Caenorhabditis elegans: one gene and its partners. The protein of the gene in region 1 interacts with the protein of each later gene in a pairwise test. Each region holds a gene or a part of one and is shown in the gene's direction. Other genes may lie near its edges.

Region 1 (3,754 bases):
AAATAACCGACTCGTTCGTTTCAACTTTGTTACTACTTTTTTCTATCTTTTTCTGCTTTTCATTCTCTTCAATTTTTCGCGGTCCCATCTCTTCCGCTTGTGACGTCGTCAACTTCTTCTTCTTCCCCTACTTCTTCCTCCGTCGCCGCTGTCGTCGTTTTTCTTTCCTCTTCATAATCGCTTTCCGTCGACCACTCGAATATTCTGACGTTCGCCGTGCCGCGACTCATCCGTTCGTTTCTATGATTCGAATTTTTTGAGAAAAACTAGAAAGCGTTGATATTGTCAAGTGTTTCGTTTTAGGATATATTCTAAAGACGAAAGGACGGATGCAAGTGTGTGTATGTATTTGTGCCATTGCAATGACGAGAGCGGAGCAAAGAAAATGACGAAGAAGAAGAAGCAGTCCTTCTCTTCGCTCATTCTTCTACTGCTCGTTCTTCCCATATATACTCATTCCCCCCGGAGAATTGTTCTTTTCCGCATTGCTGCTTCCCGTTGCCGCTGTCGTCGTCCGCCTTTCCTTTCGATTCGAATCGGATCGACAAGTTCCAGACGGCAAGAGTCATCCCTTCCATCCATAAACGCCATCACTGTCGTCGTCGTCGTCGCCTTCTTCTTTGAAAAAATGAGAAAAGCTAGAAAAAATGACGAATTGTGTTGGAGTCCTCGTCCTTCTCCTCTGCCTCTCCTTCTTTGGCGATGGCACACAACAGCATGGCCACAACACAAATAACGCGATAACTTTGTTTCGGCTCCTATACAAATTTGGTTATTTTTGTTGGTCGCTCCAACATTTTTTTCGTCCTCATCCGAGCCATGACTTCTCTTCTCCTTTTCCTCTATTTCGTCTCAAACTTCCGTTCTTTTTTACCTAATCATCATTATTAGCCCCATCCTTATCATCTTCTGGAACCCACATCGTCATCTTCGGTTTCTTTCTTTTTGAGGCACAAGCAACAACTACTTTTCTCGCATCTTCTCTCCTCCAGCTTCTCTTCTTTATGAGCCGGGTTAGGGGCTCTTCGAAAATTGTTTCCACTCGGCTGCCTTCGTGTTTTCGACGTGCCCGAACTTGCTCAAAACCGAAGCTCACGCATCGTTAGGTAACGAAAGAATTACACGTAGGAGGGACGCACTGCCGTTTGATTCTTATCTGTCATCGTCAGGATTGTTGCAACCTCTTCAATCCTCCGGATGTGCGTTGATTCCCGCACGATTAGACAATTTGTTGTGAAGGTGTACGCTATGTTTTGTCGTAAAATAGGTCACACTTGGAAGTTTTATTTTGGCAGCTTCATAATTATTCTAATTTATGATGTGATGGATTTTCTTTTTATATTTCATTTATCTGATTACCTTTCTCATTTTCCATATCAATTCTTGCTCGGTTCATCAGCTAATTCCATTGGTAGTGTCAGAATTCATGTAGCAGATAGATAGATACTCATAGATATTCCTTCGTCGCCTCAAGTATCAAGTTTCTTGCTTCTTTTTCTTCTTCTTCTTCTCTTCGCTTGTCCATATCCCCCGCGAGTTCTTCTTTCCTTTTCTTTTAATTGTTTACTTCTTCTCCTCATTCTACTCATCTTTTCCTTCATGTTTCAGAAAAAATTGTGGTATTTTGAGACAATTTTTTCTTTTCATTTCTCTATGTTTGCCTATCACTGAGGCTTTTTCTCTTGAAAATCTCTGCAAATCATTCCAATCAAAAATAATTTCAGGACACCTTGTCCAGTAGACAAAACCCGTCTACTTAGGACTCTGCGCTCATCACAAATGGTGTTACGGGCGCTCGAGTTTTCGGACTCGATATCCGATTCTCCGTGGTTTCGACAAAATTTGCATGATCACGAAGTGGCACTGGACGACGCTTTCAAGAACATCAAGCTCATTGAGAATCAGTGCAAGGAGCTGATTGCGTGCACAAAAAGTATGTGGCTTTTCTCTCTTTTTGACCCTTTACTTTTCCATTTAATCGCGTGGAATTTATAATTATTTTTATTGCAGAGCTTTCAACAGCACAACGAGCATTCGCAAAGACGTTAAGTGAATTCAAGTTTGAAACAGTCGGAACAAATCAGACAGATGATGAACGGTTTATTGGTGAGACTTTTGTTTAGCAAAAATTTATATAAAAAAATACGCGATGTTAAAAAAAAAAGTACAAAACATTTTTATTTTAAAAAAATTTCGCAGTAAAAAAATTAATTTCGGAATTTTATTATCCAGCCAAGAAAAATCGAAATTTGCTGAAAACATGTTTTTAAATGTTTTAAAATTATTAAATTTCAATTTTTTTTAATTTACCATAGTTAAAAAAAAATTTTAAACATTTTTAGGAATAGCAAAAAAGAGTATTTTGCCGTAGCAACCGTTCATTTTTGCCAAATTTTTCAAAGTCATATTTTTTACAATAAAAAAATAGTGTTGAACTCTCTTTTAAAATTTTTTTAATTGTCTCGAATTTCAATATTCCAACAAAGACCTTCGAAATCTGAATTGTTCGTGAAATTTTGAAATTTTTATAAGTTTCCTTCAATAAAAAAATTCGTTTCAGTTTTTTCTCCCAAAAAATCTATCGAAAGTTAACAAAATCCAAATTGCAAGTGATTCTCATTGTAATTTACCAAAATGCTTAATTTTCATAAATATTTTTATTGTCTTTGAAATAATATTTCACATTTTCAGCCACATGTCTAAAAGAATTCGGAAGTCTGATCAATCAAGTCGAAGATGAACGAATGAAACTTGTTGGACAAGCTGAAGAAAGTTATTTGGAACCAATAAAAAAGTTTCGAACTGAGGCGATTGGTAGAACATTGAAAGAGGAAAAGAATAAATATGACAAAGAAAGTAGCAAGTTCTATCAAACACTTGAAAAACATCTTCATCTGAGTACTGTTCGTAATAACGATTTTCGAGCCGCTGATGCCCAATTGGAGACTCAACAGAAAAACTTTTTTCAAGCTTCGTTACAGGTTTGAGTTTATAAAGTTGTCTTCAAATTATAAAATTGGAAAAAATTTGTGTTTTAATTTTCAGAATTAATGAAATTTTGGCCATTTTCTATTTTTAGACTAAAATTTCTTTCTAAATTTTTTTTTGGAAAATCGAAGGAATTTTGGTTTTTCGAATTAAAAAAAATCAACAAAAAAAATTTTTTTTCTGAAATATTGCGAATTTAAAATTTCTTTCAAAAAAAAAAAAACTTTCTGCCTTTTCAGAATTTAAAAAAATCAAAAGTTTTCGTTTTTAGTTTTTCTAAATAGTGTAATTCAAGTTTTTAAGAATTTGCCGTTGGAAATAGTACAATATAAATTGCTATTTTCAGTTAAAAAGTATATTCAACATAATTTCTCAAAAATAAAAAATAAAAAAAATTTACAGTATGTGGCAGAAGTTCAATCAGTTCAAGAACGAATGCGGTTCGAGTTTGTCGAAACATTAGGATCTTATGTTTATTCGTGGCTTTCATTTTTTCATGTTGGTAAGTATTTGTACAGGTAAAAAAAAGTTTCTGAATGATTATACAAATTTTATAAATTTGAATATTTTTCACAAAAAAAAATAGAAATTACTTGAAAAATCAGATTTTCGACAACTTTGTCTCGATTATAATTTTGAAAATAAAACTAACTATTTTAAATCACAAACTTTTCTATTTCACTTACAGAAATTCGGATTTCATGTAAAATTTCGACCAGAATGAAAAAAAAATTAAAAATTAAACAAAAATATATTTTTTCATTTT
Region 2 (3,754 bases), on another chromosome or scaffold:
CTACTAAAGAAGAAAAGTTTCTCTAAATAAATAATTTTATATCAAAAATTGGTTATTAAATCACTTAATTTCCAGAAAATTATTCTAGGATATTGCCAAAGAAATGATTTTTTGTGAAAAATGTTCGAAAATTCCAGGATTTTGATTCCAATTTAAGTGTTTTCAGGCGTTTCTAGAAGTTTTTCATCTTCTTTTATCCGGCAAGCAAATTGCAAAAATTTCTGTTAAACGCGGTTCAAATTTGTGGAAGCTAGCATCATGGTGCATCGACATTTTTTTAATTTCTCTTAAAGTATCATTCGAGTCCTGTATTGTCTGCCTTCATGCACTAATTGTCAATTGAGTCCCTTCAAAATAATTTTCCCTGACATCTGGTAGTTCCCTGCAACTTCCACGTTATCTTGACAATTTTCTTTTATCCGAGAGGTTCCTTCTGTAAAACGATTCTGACAAACTAGTCCACGTATTTAAGAGCAAACATCATGGTTCATCAAAGTTTGTGAATTTCAAAATAGTAAACCTAATTCATAGAATCTCTAAAATGGACTTTTTTGTGAGAAATGCTCAAAATCGAAGACTTTTGTCTGGATTCGATTATTTTCAAACGGCATTTTTAAATGATTTATTCAAAACGACAGTATTCTTCCAGTTGACTAGGATAGTGAAAAAATTTCTGTTTCACCAAAAAATTCATGTAAACTCGGTTCAAGTTTCTGTAAGCTAACATCATAGTGCATCGATTTCTGTGATTTTCAACAAATTGGCACGTTTGACAATTTTCCTCACAATTCCATTTAACTCCTGCTTTATGTCTTTACGGGTAGCCTGTCTGTCGAATACTTTCCCTTATATGTAGCTAGAAATAATTTTCAAAAACCAATTATTTTTCCTGAACTCCACTGATTTTCTGTAGTCTTATCGATTTTTTGACAATCTGCTCCCAGCCAAAAAGGAATCTGTAAAAATTTATGTTTCATTTGAAAATTCCTGAAGCAATTGCAAAAATCATGGTGCATCGACAAACTTTTATCAACTTTTTTAGTTTTTAGTATTGCATGAAAAGTCGTTAGAATCTGTTCTGGTGAAACTGTTCTGGAATGGTCTTTCGATTGAAAACTTTTCTCAAAATATAAGTTTTTGGTTGGCTGAGCTTCAAATTCAAAAAAAAAATTGCTTTGAAATTTTAAAAACTCACAAAATTCATGAACTTCCATCAATATCCAATATGCATTTAACCATTATTCTCCAAAAAACACGCTCCGCAACTTGTCGTCAGTGTGTATGCAGACATCGGTGAGGGACCCAAGTGGTCGCATTCGACAGCCCACATGATACACGCTCTCGTCGTCTCGTGCCTCTTTTCCCTCGCCACCTGCACTCTCTCGTCGACTGCGGGCGATCTCTAACCACTCTCTGGCTGCCTGCTCGGGATATTTCCTCACTATTTGACTGCCGGGGGTCTCTTGTGTCTACGATCGATAGGGAAACGCACGCTCACACAAACACTCTCCCGCACACATTGCGCGTTTCGAAAATGTATTAGGCTGATTTTGGCGAGTTTTTTCTCCTGGTTTTCTTCTAGTTTCCCTCAACTTTTTAAAATTAAAATTTTCTTTGATTTTTCCTCTTTTTTTTTTAAATTCACTAATATTCTCTTCAAATTAAACTCTTACAAAATTTCCAGAAAATCTACACAAAGCAGAAGCAGCAGAAGCCGCCAGCAGCTCAACTCCGCACCAACACCGTCTCCAATGGCCGACGTCTACACCCCGACCAAGACAATGGACGGCGCCTTCCTGCCAGCAGTGGGATCCCCGAACACCTCCATCGACTCTCCGGGTAAGTCATCGGAATTCTACTATTTTTGAATTTGAATTCTAATTTGCAAGTTCCTTATTTTCTTCTCCACTTCATCCTATTTCTTCGATCTCGAATCTTGATATCAAGCACTTTCATTTTTCTTTGTGACACAGTTCCGGGTTGGCGAAAAAGAAAAAACCGTTTTCAGAGAGACAATTGAAATAAAGAGTTCTGTTTTAACCGCACAATATGAAGGAAAATAATGTGAGGAACAGAAATGCCCCAGATGTGGTCGGATACCCAGAAAGGGATGACCGGGCTTTGGACACGAATTTTCAGGTTCTGAAGTGCCCTCGGCATCTTGGAGCACCTCTGACGTGCTGAGAGCAGTAGAATCCAGAAGTCAAGATACTTGGACTTGGACTTCAACTTTGGCTATATGGGACCAGCAGGAAAACTTCAAGCTTCTACCTAGCAGGAACCAGCTATGTTTCTTGGATTATTAGGCTTTCACTTCAAGGCTCAGAAGCTTAAGTCATTTAGGATAGGCTCTCGCTCTTCTCTTTTTCCCTCTTTGGGCCTAATTTCAAGTTGAGAACAGTGACTACGTATTTTCTATAGAGAAGATAAGATGTGTCCTGGTTCCGCGAGAAAAAGGGATAGGGAAACAATTATTACAAAGTGATAACGGCCTGATTTCGAACAACTTGCTGACTATGCTGAAGCTGTGGCCTATTTTTTTTTCTATCCTCTAGTAGAATGCTGGAAAAATTGAATCCGACTATTTTAGTACAGCTGGAATTTTTCGTTTTAAACTTTGGGGGTCTATGGTGCTTTTTGAAACTAGATTGAAACTTGCGACTACTTTTAATATTTCAGAAATGTCCTGAACAGATCTGAGGTCTTTTGGAGAATTTTGGAAGTTTTGTGATGATCGGGCAAGATTACGGCAAATTCATTCAAAGTTCACAAAGACATAAGAATGCATGGAAAATATCTGGCAAGTTGTGCCAAGTTCTGAAGGGTTGTACAGTTTTCGAAAACATTTCTAGAAGTTTGGAAAAGTCTAGAAAAATTATGGGATTTGAAGAAAATGTGGAAGGCTTTTGAATACTTTCTGTTAACTTTCTGCAGATTTCTGGCATTTTTAGGGAAGTTCTATATCTTCAGTAAGAGCTGCAGACTTTTGCTCACTCACTGGAGCTTTTTTGGCAAGTACGGGTAAGTTCTGGAAGTTGACCGAGTTTTTGAGTAGACCGGAATCAATCTGGCAAATTTTGTTCCATGTATCTGATAGCTTTTGAATTTTTTGAACAATTGTTATACTTCTGGACATATTTCTTACGTTCCGACATTTTTCTCGGTGGATATTTTTTCAAGAAACTGCTAGATTCCAGATATTCTAGATAAAAAATACTCTAAAAATACAAGAAAATTTGAATCTTCCTTGAATATATTCTAATAATTTCCAATAGGCAGTTCAAATTCAATTTTAAATTTCAAATTTTCAGCAGTCTACGTACCGACACCACTCACCGCGCCATCCACATCGAAGACGACTCCAGTGAAGCCCGAGGATCAGACAACGCGGCAGAAATATGGAGGTAGGTGGAAAACTCTTTAGAATTTGTATCCTAACATCACATTTCAGGTACATGGAAGCTCCGACACTTGGGAATGAGATGGAGATGTGCTCTTCCCACCCGCCGATTCCCACTTTCCCAGCCCCTATTTCTATGTAGCGTAGATACGACTATTCACATTTTAATGAATTATAGAACTCTCCAGAACTTTAGCAAAATTTTGAAAGGTCTTGGAAAAATGGGAAAATGTAATTTTAAAAGCGGACAAAAACCGAGATTTATTATTAAAAAAAGACTATGGATACCCGGGAACTATGGTCACTCTTATGGAAGCCTCTTCTCAATTGTGAATCCCCATCACTTTTCAGACT
Region 3 (3,754 bases), on another chromosome or scaffold:
TGGAAAAAAAAAGTATTTGCATCAATTGCCCTTTTGTTGCCATTCGTGAAACTTGCACACTCAGCAGCAAGTGATTCCTCCAGCCCACACGTTTTCGGCGCAAAAGTGTAAGTGATAAGAGCTTCAACTGGTACCTCCTGGAACCGAGGAGCTGACAGTGCTGCTCTTTTTGGCAGAAACTAGCGAATGAGCACAAATGCACTTTTACTTTATCTAGGTTACTATAACCGATGCTTCTTCTATTACCTTTACTTCCTCCATTTTACTCCTAAAAACTGCTTGTCATGTGTTTGAACTGTGCGGGGCCGCCTTGAGGTCCTTTCCGACCATTCTGTACCAGGTTGTTCCTATTTGGATTTCCTCGAAGAAGTTGAGGGCGCGAGAAAAAACCGAATGGCTGCAGGAGACGCCGCGGCGATGGTGGTGGTTACGCAAACTGTGCTTGAGCAAACATGTGCCTGAATTGAAAAAGAGAAGAAGACGATGACGATTAGGAACAAGAAGGCATTGAAGACGTTGAAGAAGGTCATCTTTGAAATTATGTTCAAATATGTTTTGGTTCTAGTTACCCTAGATTTCAAAAATACTTGAAGTACTCTAGAAACCCGAGTTGATATTTGTAAGGTTTATGTTAAACTCTACGTCATATTTTGAGTAACTGCCTACCGTAGTTTTTACACTTATTTGAAAAGAAAAAAGCACCTAGCTACTTTTGTAAGTTCATATTCATTTTAGGGCTAACTTACCTGTGCCTGGTAAAAGCCCACAAGACGTCTAGAATTACTATTGCAGTCTTTTCAAATACGTTCTTTTCTGGAATGGTTCTTGTTGCCCTGGATTTCAAAAATTCTCTAGAAATCCGAGTTGGCAATTTCATGCTCGGAAAGTGCACTTTTTTTCGAAAGATGATCGCTCTCAATAATTAACCTTCATAATACACATCATACTCTTCTTTTTTGCATTCACTTACAGTAAGCACTAGATATCTCGGAATACTCTAGTTGGGTTTGAAAATCTCCACGGTCCCTTTTCTATTTTTCTAGCCGTCCCCTATATCCACCTACAGTAGCCTTTGCGCCTGTACCTCTGCAGCACTATGCCTAACTGGGAGCAGGTGAGCCAATACCAAATAACTTTCCCAAAACTCTTTCTCCTCCCATCAACGGTCATCCGATCTCAATATGGCCACGTCATGCTCCAACTTCACGTACGCTTTGGCTCAAAACGAGTTCACTGACCGAACTGTTTGTCCAACCAAAACCTTGTGGCCGAGCGCAAGAAAGAGTTGTGTGTTGCTGATATTTTGTAAAAAGTAAACGTATCCTCTTCCTCCTACTGCTGTTGCTGTGAAAGTCAGTCAGCCCCGGAAGTGAACAGTTCGCTGATGCGACGACCTCCCACCCTTCGGCCTCCTCCTCTTTTTCCCCCAACAAAACTTGTGTCAACATACTGTGGTAGGAGCGAAAAGGTACCGCGCGCCCCATCCGCATTTTGCCATATCCATTCCTTCCCGAATCGGCGCTTGCTTCCTGGTGACCCTTCCCTTATCTTGGAGCAACTTTCACTTTTTCCACTTCTTATCTCCAATTCTCTCGTCTTTCTAGACAAAATAGATATCAGAATGTTCCTCCAGTTCCAAGTACATTGATACTTTTTCTTTCTCCAAATTTTCCCACACCTTCTTTTCATTACTTTTTCTCATTCGTGGTCTACTCTTTCTTATTTTTGATCTCGGTTCAATATTAGAATCTGCAAACTTAACAACTGAAAAAATAACATTTCTAAACTTACTATAACATTTCCACTTTTTAATTGCATTCTTTAAATTTCGTAAATTTAAGATGAATTGTGAATCGTTGCTCACTGCCCTTGACGTATCCACTCTACTCTCAACTCTTTCCTCACCTGAAAAAGAACATCGTCGTAAAAGACGACGTGGTGAAGTAGCCAATCCATCAAACACTCTTGATGCTCTTGTTGCTCGCAAAGCCGACGATCAACCATTTGAAAAGAGATATCTAAGTGAACAAGAAGCAATTGAAGGACCAGATGATGAGATTGAAATGAAAAAAATGGAATTGGATCCTGATGTATCTACACGCACCTGCTCTACCTGTGGTTACCAAGGAAAATGGGTGTCTGAGATGATTCGTCATAAGAGAGTTCATACCAGTGAAAGACCATTCAAGTGTCGTTATTGCTCCAGAACCAGCAAGTGGAAGGCTGACCTTATTCGACATGTTGCAAGTGAGTTCATATTACTTTTCTATTACTTTAGGTATTTGAATTCGCTTTAAACCTTTTGTAATTCTGTCAGATTTGAAGTTTGGCAGCTTAGAACAATTTTTGAAATGTAATCAATTAGCTTCTGCTATACCTGAAAATGTATTCTCCAACCTCAATAATTTCAGAAACTCATGGAATCCGTGTTGTCTCCAAATACAGCCGTTCGAAAGTCTTCGATGCCACCAACAGTTCAATGGATTCTTCGTGTTCTTCAGACTCTGATCGATGCATAATTTCTGAAAAGAGAACAGTGTTCTATCGTTGCCAATTGTGCTCATTTGAAGATGAAAGAGTATCTGTATTGAACAGTCATGTAAGCCATCTTCACAACACCTCCCCATGTGTTTGTCGATGTGGCGCTAAATTTGAAGATGTCCAAGGAGCACTTGCTCATTCCAATGGTCCATGCTCCCATGTTGATATGATTTACAACGTTATGCCAACTTATGAGAAAGGTAAACCATAATTTTAAATAGTTTAATTTCATGATTTAAATTCCTTTTTTCAGCATCTCCATTATCCCCGTGCAGAAGCGAATCCTCATCAGACAGCGGAATTCAGACAGATCCTGAAGAAGAAGCATCGATTATTACATCATCCCTACCAACTCCTCAACTTGGATCATCACCTCTTCTGTTGTCACCAACACTTCCAGTCACTCCATCTTTCCTTCCAGACATTCAATCAGCTCTGCTGAGCCTTCAGCCAAATCCATTAATGTCATTATACTTGGCATCTCTCCTACAATCTTCCTTGTTGAATAGTCCAACTATTCCAACATCTTTTCCACAAATCATCCCAACTACGATACTTACACCTTCTCAACAAGATGAGATGGTTGACGTTGAGATGTAATTCTTAAGATCTTGAATCCATAATCTCAAAATTTATAATTAAAACAATTTATCACTTCTTTACTTGAATATCTCAGGTTCATATACTCGAACCAATATATTTTCTGTTCTACTTAGCCAATCACGCACACAAACCCCAAAAAAACCCCAAATCTTAGGTATCTACTCACATACGAATCTCGTCTCAACTCTCAGCTTCCTGGTGAATTCATATTTTCTTTGCTAATTTTATTTTCCTTATCTGTTTCTACTATACGAGTCATGTTTCTATCACACATCCCTCCATATTTCTCTATCACATTTTTCACCGATTTCTCTTTTTTTCGGGATTGTTCTTATTTATATCGTTACGAATATTTGGAAATATACGCTTGTTTAAAAAAGTATTATCACCACTGCATAAACTCATATTTTAAGCGATATTATTGATTTGTATTTGCTCGGCATTTAGTGCCTCCTTTCTCCCACCTTTTGAGGTCTTCTCACCTTCCGCCCACCTTTTTGCCACCTGCTCCCCACCTTTTGTAAAAATATCACAATTATTCAACAAATACTCGAAATTCAGTCGCGTTTGCCACCTTTCTCCCACCTATTGTGGTCTAAAACAGCAGCGG

Evidence for each region.
Region 2: the proteins of T04C9.1 (region 1) and zfp-3 interact in a two-hybrid assay, tested with the Caenorhabditis elegans proteins (2 studies listed by BioGRID).
Region 3: the proteins of T04C9.1 (region 1) and ztf-2 interact in a two-hybrid assay, tested with the Caenorhabditis elegans proteins (2 studies listed by BioGRID).

The regions. Positions count from the first base shown.
Region 1 is NC_003281.10:5,991,495-5,995,248, forward strand, and holds the start of T04C9.1 (Rho GTPase-activating protein 26), read left to right. Parts: upstream 1-1,724; 5' UTR 1,725-1,779; coding exon 1,780-1,933; intron 1,934-2,010; coding exon 2,011-2,106; intron 2,107-2,691; coding exon 2,692-2,981; intron 2,982-3,390; coding exon 3,391-3,490; intron 3,491-3,754. Other genes in the region: T04C9.2 (uncharacterized protein), read left to right, coding at 386-736.
Region 2 is NC_003284.9:1,444,574-1,448,327, reverse strand, and holds the start of zfp-3 (C3H1-type domain-containing protein), read left to right. Parts: upstream 1-1,684; 5' UTR 1,685-1,751; coding exon 1,752-1,839; coding exon of another isoform or gene 1,840-1,868; intron 1,869-3,311; coding exon 3,312-3,404; intron 3,405-3,451; coding exon of another isoform or gene 3,452-3,754.
Region 3 is NC_003279.8:7,289,431-7,293,184, forward strand, and holds ztf-2 (Zinc finger protein ztf-2), read left to right. Parts: upstream 1-1,841; coding exon 1,842-2,247; intron 2,248-2,411; coding exon 2,412-2,741; intron 2,742-2,794; coding exon 2,795-3,141; 3' UTR 3,142-3,522; downstream 3,523-3,754. UniProt on the Caenorhabditis elegans protein: Transcription factor. Represses gene expression, probably via binding to DNA consensus sequence 5'-[AT][CT]TTCC[AC][AG]-3' in promoter regions. May play a role in pharynx morphogenesis.